3 linked regions of the Neurospora crassa OR74A genome follow. Each later gene encodes a partner of the first gene's protein in a complex. Links are inferred from orthologs where the notes say so. Each region holds a gene or a part of one and is shown in the gene's direction. Other genes may lie near its edges.

Evidence for each region. The genes of interacting proteins can lie anywhere in the genome.
Region 2: the proteins of NCU02578 (region 1) and hda-3 are in contact, whole or in part, in a cryo-EM structure (PDB 8HXX), measured with the Saccharomyces cerevisiae proteins. The link is inferred for Neurospora crassa OR74A from reciprocal best matches to the Saccharomyces cerevisiae genes SIN3 and RPD3. Residues at the interface, in NP_014639.1 of Saccharomyces cerevisiae: Cys748, Glu749, Ala750, Phe751, Gly752, Pro753, Ser754, Tyr755, Thr763, Met765, Pro766, Cys767, Ser768, Gly769, Arg770, Asp771, Met773, Cys774, Val777, Leu778, Asn779, Asp780, Trp782, Val783, Gly784, His785, Pro786, Ala789, Phe795, Ile796; in NP_014069.1 of Saccharomyces cerevisiae: Asp26, Ala27, Asp28, Gly30, Asn31, Tyr32, Ala33, Ala36, Gly37, His38, Lys41, His43, Arg46, Arg65, Gln72, Cys75, Gln76, Phe77, His78, Thr79, Asp80, Glu81, Asp92, Asp114, Gly115, Glu118, Lys153, Lys154, Glu156, Val167.
Region 3: NCU02578 (region 1) and NCU02121 share a complex: the UniProt entries of both Saccharomyces cerevisiae proteins name them as parts of the RPD3C(L) complex. The link is inferred for Neurospora crassa OR74A from reciprocal best matches to the Saccharomyces cerevisiae genes SIN3 and CTI6.

The regions. Positions count from the first base shown.
Region 1 is NC_026501.1:2,788,225-2,791,924, reverse strand, and holds the end of NCU02578 (paired amphipathic helix protein Sin3a), read left to right. Parts: coding exon 1-215; intron 216-280; coding exon 281-724; intron 725-790; coding exon 791-2,059; intron 2,060-2,112; coding exon 2,113-2,658; 3' UTR 2,659-3,200; downstream 3,201-3,700. Other genes in the region: NCU02577 (hypothetical protein), read left to right, coding at 3,549-3,700. UniProt on the Saccharomyces cerevisiae protein: Catalytic component of the RPD3 histone deacetylase complexes RPD3C(L) and RPD3C(S) responsible for the deacetylation of lysine residues on the N-terminal part of the core histones (H2A, H2B, H3 and H4).
Region 2 is NC_026501.1:7,046,517-7,050,760, reverse strand, and holds the start of hda-3 (histone deacetylase RPD3), read left to right. Parts: upstream 1-1,444; 5' UTR 1,445-1,888; coding exon 1,889-2,101; intron 2,102-2,164; coding exon 2,165-2,465; intron 2,466-2,533; coding exon 2,534-3,075; intron 3,076-3,126; coding exon 3,127-4,047; 3' UTR 4,048-4,244. Other genes in the region: rpn-11 (26S proteasome regulatory subunit RPN11), read right to left, coding at 1-305, 367-620, 725-790. UniProt on the Saccharomyces cerevisiae protein: Catalytic component of the RPD3 histone deacetylase (HDAC) complexes RPD3C(L) and RPD3C(S) responsible for the deacetylation of lysine residues on the N-terminal part of the core histones (H2A, H2B, H3 and H4).
Region 3 is NC_026501.1:1,173,707-1,177,883, reverse strand, and holds the start of NCU02121 (transcriptional regulator), read left to right. Parts: upstream 1-1,377; 5' UTR 1,378-2,815; coding exon 2,816-3,408; exon of another isoform or gene 3,409-3,580; coding exon of another isoform or gene 3,581-3,591; coding exon 3,592-3,891; intron 3,892-3,944; coding exon 3,945-4,177. UniProt on the Saccharomyces cerevisiae protein: Component of the RPD3C(L) histone deacetylase complex (HDAC). Responsible for the deacetylation of lysine residues on the N-terminal part of the core histones (H2A, H2B, H3 and H4).

The DNA.
Region 1 (3,700 bases):
TGTGGAATCTTGACCTGATCGAGAAGGACGTGTTGATCTACAAGGCAAATCACTTCATGGGTGGCAACCCCGAATTGCTGAATACCCTCAGGAACATGCTAAGGCACACCGGCACGGAAGAGGTAGTTGAGAACCGCCCTGAACCACCGCCAGGCAAGGTTTCTTTGAGCAACTGCCGCGGTTTCGGTCCTAGCTATCGCCTTCTCCCTAGACGGGTAAGTGCCTTTTCGTAACATAGCACTATTTCTTTTCTGGCGCGCTAACTATCATGGGATTACAGGAACGTCTCCGTCCTTGTAGCGGTCGCGACGAGCTGTGCAATTCGGTACTCAACGATGGTTGGGCCTCACATCCGACGTGGGCTTCGGAAGATTCGGGCTTCGTTGCGCATCGCAAGAACGGTTACGAAGAGGGACTCCATCGTATCGAAGAGGAGCGACATGACTACGACTTCTACATCGAAGCCAACCAAAAGTGCATCCAGCTCCTGGAGCCGATCGCCCAACAAATGCTTACGCTTACCCCCGCGGAGCGAGCACACTTCAAGATGCCTGCAGGTCTTGGTGGGCAGAGTACTTCGATCTACAAGCGAGTCTTGAAGAAGATCTACGGGCCAGAGAAGGGCTGTGAAGTCGCCAACGAAATGTTTAAGAACCCTTTCGCTGTTGTGCCCATCGTGATGGCTCGTCTCAAACAAAAAGATGAAGAGTGGAGGTTCACCCAGGTACGCATCACCATTCCCCTGACCTATGATTCGCTGTTACTATGTGTTTGCTAACCCAATAAATAGCGCGAATGGGAGAAAGTCTGGCAGAGCCAAACCGAAACGATGCATCTCAAGAGCCTGGACCACATGGGTATTCAGGTGAAGACGAATGACAAACGCAATCTTTCCGCAAAGCATCTGGTCGACGTTATCAAGACCAAGCATGAAGAACAACGCCGACTGCGAACGACTAAAACAAAGACACCTCGTTACCAATTCCTGTATGGGTTCCAAGATCAGGATCTTCTCCTTGACCTCCTCCGTTTCATGGTCATTTATGCGAATGTGGGTGGCCAGCACAACGCTCTGGAGAGGAGACGTATATTGGAGTTCTTTGAAACGTTCATCCCGGCATTCTTTGACCTTCCAGAAGAGAAGGTGCAAGAAAGACTTGCTGATATTGACCAAGATTCTGGAGAAGAGGATGAAGAAGACTCGGCGCCCGCTGAGCTCACCAATGGCAGGACGCGACGCGGTAAAAAATCCGACCTACTTCGCGGCGTCCTTGATCCGGGCCGTAATGGTAGTCGTAGCCGGGGCCAAAAGGAAGATAGCACAGCAACAGGAAGCAAGGAGACGACACCGGATGTCGGGTCTGCTAATGAGGAGGAGATGCCCGATGCGCCAGATGATCGGGCTGTCCCGGAGGTCTCGAATGACCGCTGGTTGCCCACGATTGGTCCCATCGTCTTAGAGAACACCAAGGATGGTAAGCCTGATGGACTTGTCGATGTCGATGGTGAACTGAAGGCGGATGCACCCTTTGTTCGTGCCTGGTACAACTTCTACTGCAACCAGAACATGTATGTGTTCTTCACTGTTTTCCAGACGCTGTACAAGCGCCTCGAGGAGGTCAAGGCCAGCAAAGACAGCGTCCTTGAGGAGATCCGCCGGGAGACTGCTGTTAAGCCCGCAAAGATCCTTGGCATGGTCAACCCAGGCCTGCACTACTTCGACGACAAGAACCCGGAGACATTCTGGCCTCGTACCGTCGAGCTGATTGAGGATTTCATCAACGGCGAGATTGACGAGAGCCGGTATCAAGACGTGCTCCGGCACTACTATCTTCGCAAGGGATGGACAATTTACACGATCCAAGATCTGCTCAAGACACTTTGTCGCATTGGTCTTGCCTGCAACAACCCAGACGCCAAGGGCGAGAAGACCAAGGAGCTCGTTAGGGCATACCTGGAGAGTCGTCAGCAGGAGACCACCAGCTTCCAGAACGAGATCAGCGCTCGTAAATTTGCGGAGAAGTGCATCAAAGATGCCGATATGTTCGTCATCAGCTGGGTAAGTATCTATTTTGAGAAAGTTGAATGTAACAAATACTAATCTGTCATCAGTATCCGGGCAAGAAGGAAGCTTCCGTGCGCTGGCTGAAAAAGGAAGACACCACCTTCTACATGGACGAGATGGAGCGCATCCAGCAATGGCAGTACTATATCTCTTCTTACATGCGTCAAGAGCCCACGGAAGGAGTAGATAAAAAGCAACTCCAGAGGGTATTCCTCTCCCGCAACCACGCCGCGGCGACAGAGGGTATCTCCGAAGATGATTATAAACCCAAGCCACTTGCATATGACGAGGGCCTGGTGATTAGGATTTGCCTCAATTCGTCCAAGATGGTGTTTGAAAAATTCACTTCGGAATGGTTCATCTACAACACCACCACCTTCGACTCGGAAGAGGACAAGGTTTTCCACGAGGAGAAGCAGGCGTTCCAGAGAGAGCTGCGCGATGAACGCCTCAAGGAGAAGTTTGTGACAAATAACTCCTGGATGAAGGGCCTGAGCCATGAGGAAGTCCAAGCAGCCAAGGACGAGTTTCAGAGGTGGAAAGAGGGAGGCATCGGTATGGTCGAGTCGCAGCAGCAGCCGCCCTTACAATAGCCACAAGCCCCACCGTAGTATTGTGGTCATGGGTGTCCTTGAGAACGAAGGAATAGGGTGAGTGACGGATGCTCATGTGACGGGCCTCAGCGTTTCATCTCCTTTCGGCAGCAGGAGTATGCTCTGGGATGCAGCGTTGGATGTTGGTTGAGATAATTTGGTGATGAAATTTATCAGGGAGTTGAGGGAAGCGGTACGATTTGCTTTAGTCGTGGCTTTTGTTTTATTTCCGTTCAGCCTAGGCGAAGGACCGTGTGGGTATCAACAGAACAGAACAAACCTAGGTTGGTTATGAAGTTTGAATCCAACTCGTTATTACAGAATGAGACATGGACAAGGAAGCATACTGAGAAGGGGGGAAAGAGCAAAGGAAGGGGTGGGTCTAGAGAGGACTAAGTGTAGTAAAAGGGACTCTCCGCGTAGGTACAGGCTTCTTATTACTAGAGGCTGTCCCTTGACGAGGGGTCAAACCCGCTATCAGCGAGAATATTCGATCATATTCTGTCAATCAAATATAGTTGTGTCTTTCACGTTAACGCTAGTTATCTCGGTATTTGTGCTGCAAAATACTGACTGTAAGGTCCCAACAGTCTAGTTTTGCGTAGTGTAGTACCCCTTTCGAGTGTGTGCGGGTAAGTATGAAAGCTCGGACCACATTGGTATTTCGGTGGTCATACTTGGCCGGCACATTACTTGTAACCACCACCACTCACTTCTTCCTTAGCTCACGCAAGCTCCAAACCAAACGTTTTTCCTCTTCTTCTTGCTTTCCAGTTTGGCGGCTTTAGGTTGGGATCACAGTACCAATTAGCCGCATGGAAGAGTCGTAGACTACTCGCCTCATCGTTTTCTTCTTCTTCTTCTTTGCCGGTCAACCTCCATCCCCCGTCATGCTTGTCCGGCGGCCGCCGCCCTTCGGCGCCACTCTCGGCATCGTGCCACGGTGCTTTTCACGTTCAGTGCCAGTCACGATGACGACAATACCACTTGTCAAGACAACACCCACCCAAAATGTTGTTGCAATTTATCATGGGGCGGGCCC
Region 2 (4,244 bases), about 4.3 Mb from region 1:
TGATGCCGATCGAGTAGTAGTGCCTGTTCAGGCCGTGGATGAGGGCCTGGATGGAAGGCTTGTTGAGATGTCCCAAGTTGGATGTCGTCTGGCGGGGCTCCTGACCCAGCATGAGCGACTGGGGGTTGATGAGACGGAAAGCATCAATCACAACCTTGCCCTTGACGGACTGAATGGGGTCAATAACCACGGCGACCGCACGGGAGTTGAGTTGTTCGAAACTTTGTTGGGTGTTGATATCAACCGACGAAAGCCAGCAGCCAAAACCGGGATGCGAGTGGTACCAGCCAACGACGGCCTCGGGCCTGCGAAGGGAAATACATTAGTGGGTGGTGAAAGGTCAAGTTGAGCTGAGTATCCTCTCACCTTCCCGTTTGCCTGAGCATGTCCATCATGTTCATCTGGAAGACGGGGTCGACAGCCTCTACACTGACACCAGTACCGCTTTGGGGCATGGCAAACACATCGACGACGCGAACGGTAAAGTCATCGACAAACTCGCCCAGCATCAGGCCCATGACTTCCATGGGCACACCAGCGCGACCGTGGCGCAACATCTTGAGGAGGGCTAGGGAGGAAATGTAGACGGTTTCCGAGTTGTCGATGAGGTTGGTGTTGTCCTGACCAGAACCCAGCACATTAGCATCATGCCCTTGTCACCTTCACGCCAGACCAAGCAAGCCTGCGGTTCTGTTGTTCAATTTGCGAATGGGAACAAACATACGGCTCCTGGCGCAGTGGCACCGCCCATTCCCAGGCCGCCGCCCAACAAGCTGCGCATGCGATCCATCTTGAATGTGTTTGTTGGTTGGAGAGTAGTGTATTATGTTGACGTAGCTGTGTGACGGGGGTGTTGGAAATTAATATCGGCGTCGTTCCTCGGGTGTAATGACGTCGCGCAGAAGTATATGGAGGGTTGCGATGCAAACGGTGGCGGTTTCGTTGTAAAGTCGAAGTGGGATGTCGTCGATGACAAGACGGGAGACGGGGCGGTTTGTTGTTTAGGTTGGTGGGTTGAGTACCTCTCTACCTACCTACCGCGTCAGGTTGGAGCATGGAGCATGCAGCACCTATGGGGAGCTTGCCGCAGCTGGCTGGCGGCGGCGTTGACGACAAGCTGTGGCAGCCTGCAACGCCAACTGCCACAAAGTCCACTGCAGGCCAGCCCGGTGACGGAAGGTTCCCTTGAGCTGGAAGCTGTGGATTACATAATCTTATCTGGTTTGCAAATCGGCAGGCAAAGCGGTTGACTTCATAAGTATTGGCGCTTTTTTGGAAGGTTCGACGTTGCCTGCCGACAGGACGTCAGGTGCACAATCCGTTTTCTGATTGGTTACTAAAGTTATTGGAGAATGGAGAACAGCTCAATTATACCCCACTCGCCCGTTGGGGTTGCTGGTGCTTGCGCTTTCTCCCCCGCCTGTCCGCCCACGGCTTCACGCACCGACCTCAGCGTTGTGCCGTGGCTCGTACAAGCAATTCTGCCACTCAGTGACAGACACCCCGGCGTCAGGAACCGAGCTCGAACTAAACACCATCTTTCTTTTCGTTGCTGGCAAGCCATGACGATACCGCCCAGGTGATTTGCCACATCACGGGGATATTTCTATATCATACTTTGTCATTCTATCAATACCACGAAACCTCAACACGTGTTTCCCCCATTCAGCCCGGCGACCCTGAACATTTCCTTTCACGACGGGGTCCTTCCCATCCCAGCGTCTCCCGGTCAGCGATAACTTCTACATACTTGGACGTGATATCCACCACCACAACACACACACACACACCATCCAACCCACAATCCGGATTGTACCGCAATAGTCCTCCGTATCCGCCAACGCAACGCAACACAACACAACGGGCAACCCGGCAACATCTGCCCACCATGCCTTCCACATTCACCGATCCCGCCGGAGTCGCGCGTGACGAGCCGTTGTATACCGTCGTCCACAATGACAAGAAGCGGGTCGCCTACTTCTACGACTCCGACATTGGCAACTATGCCTACGTGACCGGCCATCCTATGAAGCCCCATCGTATCCGTCTTGCCCACAGTCTGGTCATGAACTACAACGTGTACAAGTTTCTCGAGGTCTACGTAAGTTTGCTGTGTTGGGGGTACTGGCCTTGGTCAACGACAAACTGACCCTCTCTGTGTTAGCGTGCAAAACCAGCCGTTACTGCCGAAATGACACAGTTTCACACCGACGAGTACATTGAGTTTTTACAAAAGGTTACCCCCGACAACATGGACGGCTTCATGCGCGAGCAGGGCAAGTACAATGTTGGCGATGACTGTCCCGTTTTCGACGGCCTGTTTGAGTTCTGCGGCATCAGTGCCGGCGGAAGTATGGAGGGTGCCGCTCGCTTGAATAGGGACAAGTGCGACATCGCCATCAACTGGGCCGGTGGTTTGCATCACGCCAAGAAGAGCGAGGCTAGCGGTTTCTGCTATGTCAATGGTATGTGGCCTTCACAATTTCCTGGAACCCGTACGACGCCACCCATGCTTACCTACTACACCGAACAGATATCGTCCTGGCTATCCTAGAGCTCCTGCGTTTCAAGAAGCGCGTTCTTTACATTGACATCGATGTGCACCACGGCGATGGTGTCGAAGAAGCCTTTTACACGACGGATCGCGTCATGACCGTATCCTTCCACAAGTACGGCGAGTACTTCCCCGGTACCGGCGAGTTGCGCGACATTGGTATCGGTTCCGGCAAGAACTATGCCGTCAACTTCCCCCTCCGCGATGGGATTGACGACACCACCTACAGCTCCATCTTCCAGCCCGTCATTAGCGCTGTCATGCAATACTTCCAACCTGAGGCTGTTGTCCTCCAATGCGGTGGTGACAGTTTGTCCGGTGATCGTCTTGGCTGCTTTAACTTGAGCATGCGTGGCCATGCCAACTGCGTTAATTACGTGCGGAGCTTTGGACTACCCACTCTGGTTCTCGGCGGAGGTGGCTACACCATGCGCAACGTCGCAAGGACTTGGGCCTACGAAACCGGCCGTTTGGTTGGTGTTGAGATGAACCCAGTCCTTCCTTACAACGAGTACTACGACGTAAGTGGATTAGTTCCATTATGGCTTGCCGCCTTGCTAACAAACTCTTAGTATTACGGTCCCGACTACGAGCTTGATGTGCGTTCTTCCAATATGGAGAACGCCAACAGCCCAGAGTACCTGGAGAAGATCAAGATATCAGTGATAGAAAACCTGAAGAAGACCGCCCCAGTTCCCTCTGTCCAGATGCAGGACGTTCCGCGTCAGGGCTTCGGTATGTCAGACGATCAGGAAGACGAGCTTGACGACATGGATGAGGACGAGAACAAGGATGTCCGGCGGACACAGCGTCAATGGGAGAAGGAGAGAGCTAGGCAAGACGAGTTTGAAGAAAGTGATGACGAGGACATGGCTCAAGCCAATGGTGTGTTCAAGCCGAACGGACCGCAGCGCCGGTCCATTCTCGACTTCAAGAACCCCAAGGCCGTGGAGGACATGGATCTTGATATTGGAGAACCAGCTCCGCCCTCGATTGCCGCCACCGCCGCCGCGGCCGCCGCTAAGCCAGCGGAGCCTACTGCTGTCGACAACGATGAGACCATGATCGATAACGACGAAGCCCAACCGGCCGCCGCTGAACCTGAAGCCGAAGCCCCCGCAACGACAGCCGCGCAGCCTGCAGTAAGCTCTGCGGCCAAAGTTGACGAAGATGGCGATGTGGATATGGGCGAGGCCGATGAGAAGCCTGCAGAACCTGAGGCGGAGATCAAGACCGAGGAAATCGAGACTGCCCCTGCTCCGGAGCCGGAGGCAGAGCGCAGGCCAAGTCCCGCCGCCGCCACTGCGGAGCCTGCTACCGAGGCAGCAGCAGCAGCAGCAGCCTCTCCCAAGGCCGCCTCGCCGGTACCAGACGCCAACACTGAGAAGCCAGTGGCAGAAGAGCCAAGCAAGGTTGCCGAGGAGGCATCCGACAAGGCACCGGCAGCAACAACAGATGACAAGGAAAAGGAGGCCGATAAGCCTCAAGAATAGGACGCAACCCCCCGAACAAACACTCAGTACGTCTGATAGCTCGGACTAATCGGGCCCTGAGTACGTCGGCAAATTTCAGTTGTGTTATCCCATGAGCATGATTGGCATTGGCGTTTGGGGATTTAGGGGTGTTGTGACGAGGAAAATGTTGTTTTCAATGATTCCCCCACATTACATCCAGGCTCTTTGTTGTTTGT
Region 3 (4,177 bases), about 1.6 Mb from region 1:
CGGGGGAGAGCTATAGGAAGGCCAAAACAAAAGAAGCCAACTCAAACCAGCACTTTGCCCGAGTCAGTGAGACGGGTGTCGTGTATCGGTGCAGTGGTGTTGAGGGGTGGAAAGCAATGGAGTTCAGTGGTTGTGATTAGGAGAAGCGGGTGTTCACTGTAGTGAGGGCGGGCGGGATGGTAGGCGGGACCTAATCGACGCACCCTTGGCTGCATTATGTAAGCATCCCGTCCTTAACCACCTCACTGCAGTTGGTCGTCTGGACAGCGCGGGTTTCGGGCTGTGATTCTGAGGAGAGGGCAGCCAGAGGTCGGTGACCCAATGCCGCTGCCTGCCATGCTGCCAGAACCTAGAAGTACACCCGCTGTTCCGCCCCCGCCTTCCACTTGTAGTTCCCGGCCGGGGGAGCCTCCATTCGGTTTCCGGTTCCCATCCGAGTGAATAGCCTCACGCATGGCATTGGGTCTCTCCCCAACATGGAGAGATCAACGGAAACTGAGAGATCACCCAATAATGATACCCTAGAGGCCGACAGCAATCACGAACCGTCGAGCATACTGGTGTTCCCACGGGTACACTACTGGAGACTCCAAGGAACAGCCCCAAGTGAGATGCTGAATTTCCATACCGTGACCTCTCTAGCTACTGTACTGAGCTACCTGTACGTTTTTCGATTTCCCAAATCCAATTGGAAGATCATGGGGAAGTACCGAGTCGACTGATGTTGACCCATTAACTACCTCTAGGTACCAGCTAGTGTACCTTGGCTTGACTTCCCCAGCAACCGAGCTTCTTTCTGGGTGGGCAAGTCTCTCTGTCTCTACTTACCATAATCATCGCCGTGCACACTCACATTGAAAGCGACCTGAATGGAGGCCGGGTTGTGGGCGGCGGTTCCTGAATGCCGGACGCACTGTGCTTACACTAGTACTAGTACAGTATTCGAGCAAGAGCCAAGCGTTTTCCATCACAGGCAGAACACTGCGGTGCCGGTGCCATTCATAGGTAGTTGCATCTGATTTGATGCCGCCCTGACAACACCATGTACTGCCATTTTCCCTTTGAGAAGCAAACGAGACCCATTCGACGACGGTAGGTGCAATTTCACTTGGAAAGCTTTGCTCAACTCGACAACAACCTGAACCAGACCCGACCTGCAGCGAGCAATGAACCGAACCCCCGCCTCCCCTTCAGGTTCCCATTACCCCAAATAATTTCCCCTTGTGTGCAACAACGAGTTTCGTTGTCTTCCACCATCGATGTTTGTTTGAACCACATTTCACTTCAAACCCTTTTCGGTTTTCAAGATGCCCCTTATTCTCTTGTCGGTCCAGGTTGGACACGGGCTTCACCTATTGAGGCGTGATGTCATAGCACGAACCCTCCCCGACGGACGGTACCAGTAATTCACCACTCTACGGCCTCTACATACCTATGCATACGACTTTCTTACATCAAACTATATCTACTCGTCTCTGGAAACTGAACAGCATCGACAAGCCGGCTTTCGACGCCGCATCCCAGAGATCATTGATATCCTGGTCGAGCTGGCCCATTATCTTTTTCCCGGCACCGGATTGGTCAACATGGGGACCGAGCTTCCAGATGGCCCCGCACGCTTTGGCGCTGCCACTGCCGCTACCGTGAGGAGGAGTGAGGAGGTGCCTGAGTGACGGACGGGATCAGACCGGGGTTGGTGGGTGGGTGGGCGGCAGCCAGAGTGGGTGCCCGGGCGGACAGCTTTCTGCCAAAATTTACTGCAAGCAACTGCAAGAGCGCCGTGTCGGGTTGGTGGTGGTGGTGGTGGTGGTGGTGGTGGTGCATCGTGGTGCCGTGGTGCGGTGCGGTGGTCCCGTCTTTTTTGGGGCTGGCAACTCGACTAGGTCCCGGGCTCGGTTTCCACCATTGTACACACACCAAGAGAGACCAGCCATCGCTTCCTCCTTCCAGGCAGTGCCGTCCTCGCTCTCCTCTTTTCTGGAAATCCTCACCACGTACACCCTGGGCCACAGACACGAAAACCCGACTTGTCGAACTTTGTTATTTCCGTCATGAGAAATAGTTTACCACCCACCTACCACGTCGACCACCGCTCCCCGATCTCCAATTTGGCGTAGCCAGCACTTCGGATCCCGTCATAGACATCTCGTCTCGCCGTCCTCCGTCCCCTCTTCTTCGTTTTTTTTCCCACCCTCGTACCCGCTCAATCTTTTACCCAAGTTAGCAGCGAACGAGTCTTGCTTTCGTGGACATTTACACAAGCAAGCCGGCGACATCCTCATCTCGAGCACGCCCCCGATCGAGCACCCTCCTCACTTGGCTGGATTTTCGACCTGAGCCCTCGCGATCCTCCGCCGTCGGTCGATCCATCCTCGATAATTTACGCTTCTCTACCACCAAGCACCGGCTTCAAGCTACGATTCGAACCTAGCACGAGTCTCATAACCTCGACACCTTCGATTGCATCTTTACTCGACGATTGTGTCAGATTCAATTTGCGGTCGAGACTCGGCCTCGTCGAGTCCTCGCTTCTCCGTGACCACATCGACAGACGACCGCGTGATTCGGGTCTGCTCCCGCCATCACGCCCCATTACTTCTCCGACCATCCACATCGCAATTGTCGAGCTTCAAGTAAAACGAAATTGTTTTAGTGCTAGGGTGCGTCATTGTCCCCAGGCACTCCGGATACCCGACCGCAGAACCCCCTCCCAACGGGCCTGCGGATCGCGTTCTTCTCTTCGACACCAATCGTGTCGATTATATACCCTACATACTTCGAGCTCCTGCCTTGACTGCGGCCCCAGCTGCAAGCAATGGCAGGGTCCGATCCGAGGCGGTCGTCAAGAGCGCGAACCTCCCAATCACAATCGCAAATCTCGTCCAGCACGTCCAGCACGTCAGGTCGTGGTGAGCGCAGCACCAGGTATTTCAACAAAGCTGTCTCACCACAAAAGTCAAGCTCCTCGGGATCGCTATCCTCTGAGGCTCCAGACGAGACAATTACAGCGGACGACTCGTTTGGTACCCGGCGTCGTACCCGCGGTCAGCAGGAAGAAAGAGAGAGGGCAAATAACAAGTCTGAGCAGGTCGAAATGGCACACGGCGACGATGACGCTCAAGACGAGGACGAGGCCGTTCGTTGCATTTGCGGCTACGAGGACTACCCAGGCCCTCCGCCGTTTGACGAAGACTCCAAGCATGGCTTGAAGGACGGCATGGATATCGATCCCATATTCGCGACCGATGTCACCGACGATGCGGCCGGATTTTTCGTACAATGCGACATTTGCAAGGTCTGGCAACATGGCGCCTGCGTTGGCATTATGACCGAAGAGTCAAGCCCAGACGAATATTTCTGCGAAGAGTGCCGCAAAGAATTCCACAAAATTTTCACAGCGAGCAACGGGTAAATCTTGCATTTCTTTGGTCCCGTGGCTGCATGGTCGGGAGCTGAACGTCAAAAGTTCAGCTGGAGTGCGTCAAAGCCCATCACACGCCTTTGACGTTGCCTCACCTTTCATGCAATATCCTCCTCCATCCACGACAATTGTCAAATCACTCTCCAGTCGACTGACGACATGATTCACAGACAACGCTATTCGCACTACCTACCCCTTAAGCGCCCCTCTCGAACCACTTCTAGATCCGCCTCTCTCAACAAGGATGGCACGAGATCACCGCCCAAAGATAAACCGGAGGGCCGCAACGGACGTGGTACGACCACTTCCTCCGCGTCGAAGCGAAGATCTACAATGAACAGCCGAGGCGCTGACTACGACGAAGCTGAAGCCCTGAGACGGGCGATTGAAGCAAGCAAAGAAGATGCAGCTTCTGAACAACCCGAAACTACCACGAGAAGAACAAAGCGAGGCAGAAGCGATAGCGAAGAGTAGGTCCACGTCCTACGCTGCCCGACATCAATAACCGCTAACCCTCTTCAAGAAAGTCAGAAAACAAGAGGCAGAGGACGAGCTCTCGATCGGCCTCTCCTAGCCTTGACAAGACCACTGAGGACTCTGACGACGCCGGCACAACAACGCGGAATGGTGCAAAGTCTAGATCGCGGGGCGGCGTAGCAGGCCGCACTCTGCGCACCGAGAAGACAACTGAAAAAGAAGAACGCGAACGACAAAGGGCTGAGGCAGCAAACAAGCGAAAGGGTAGAGCTGAGCGCC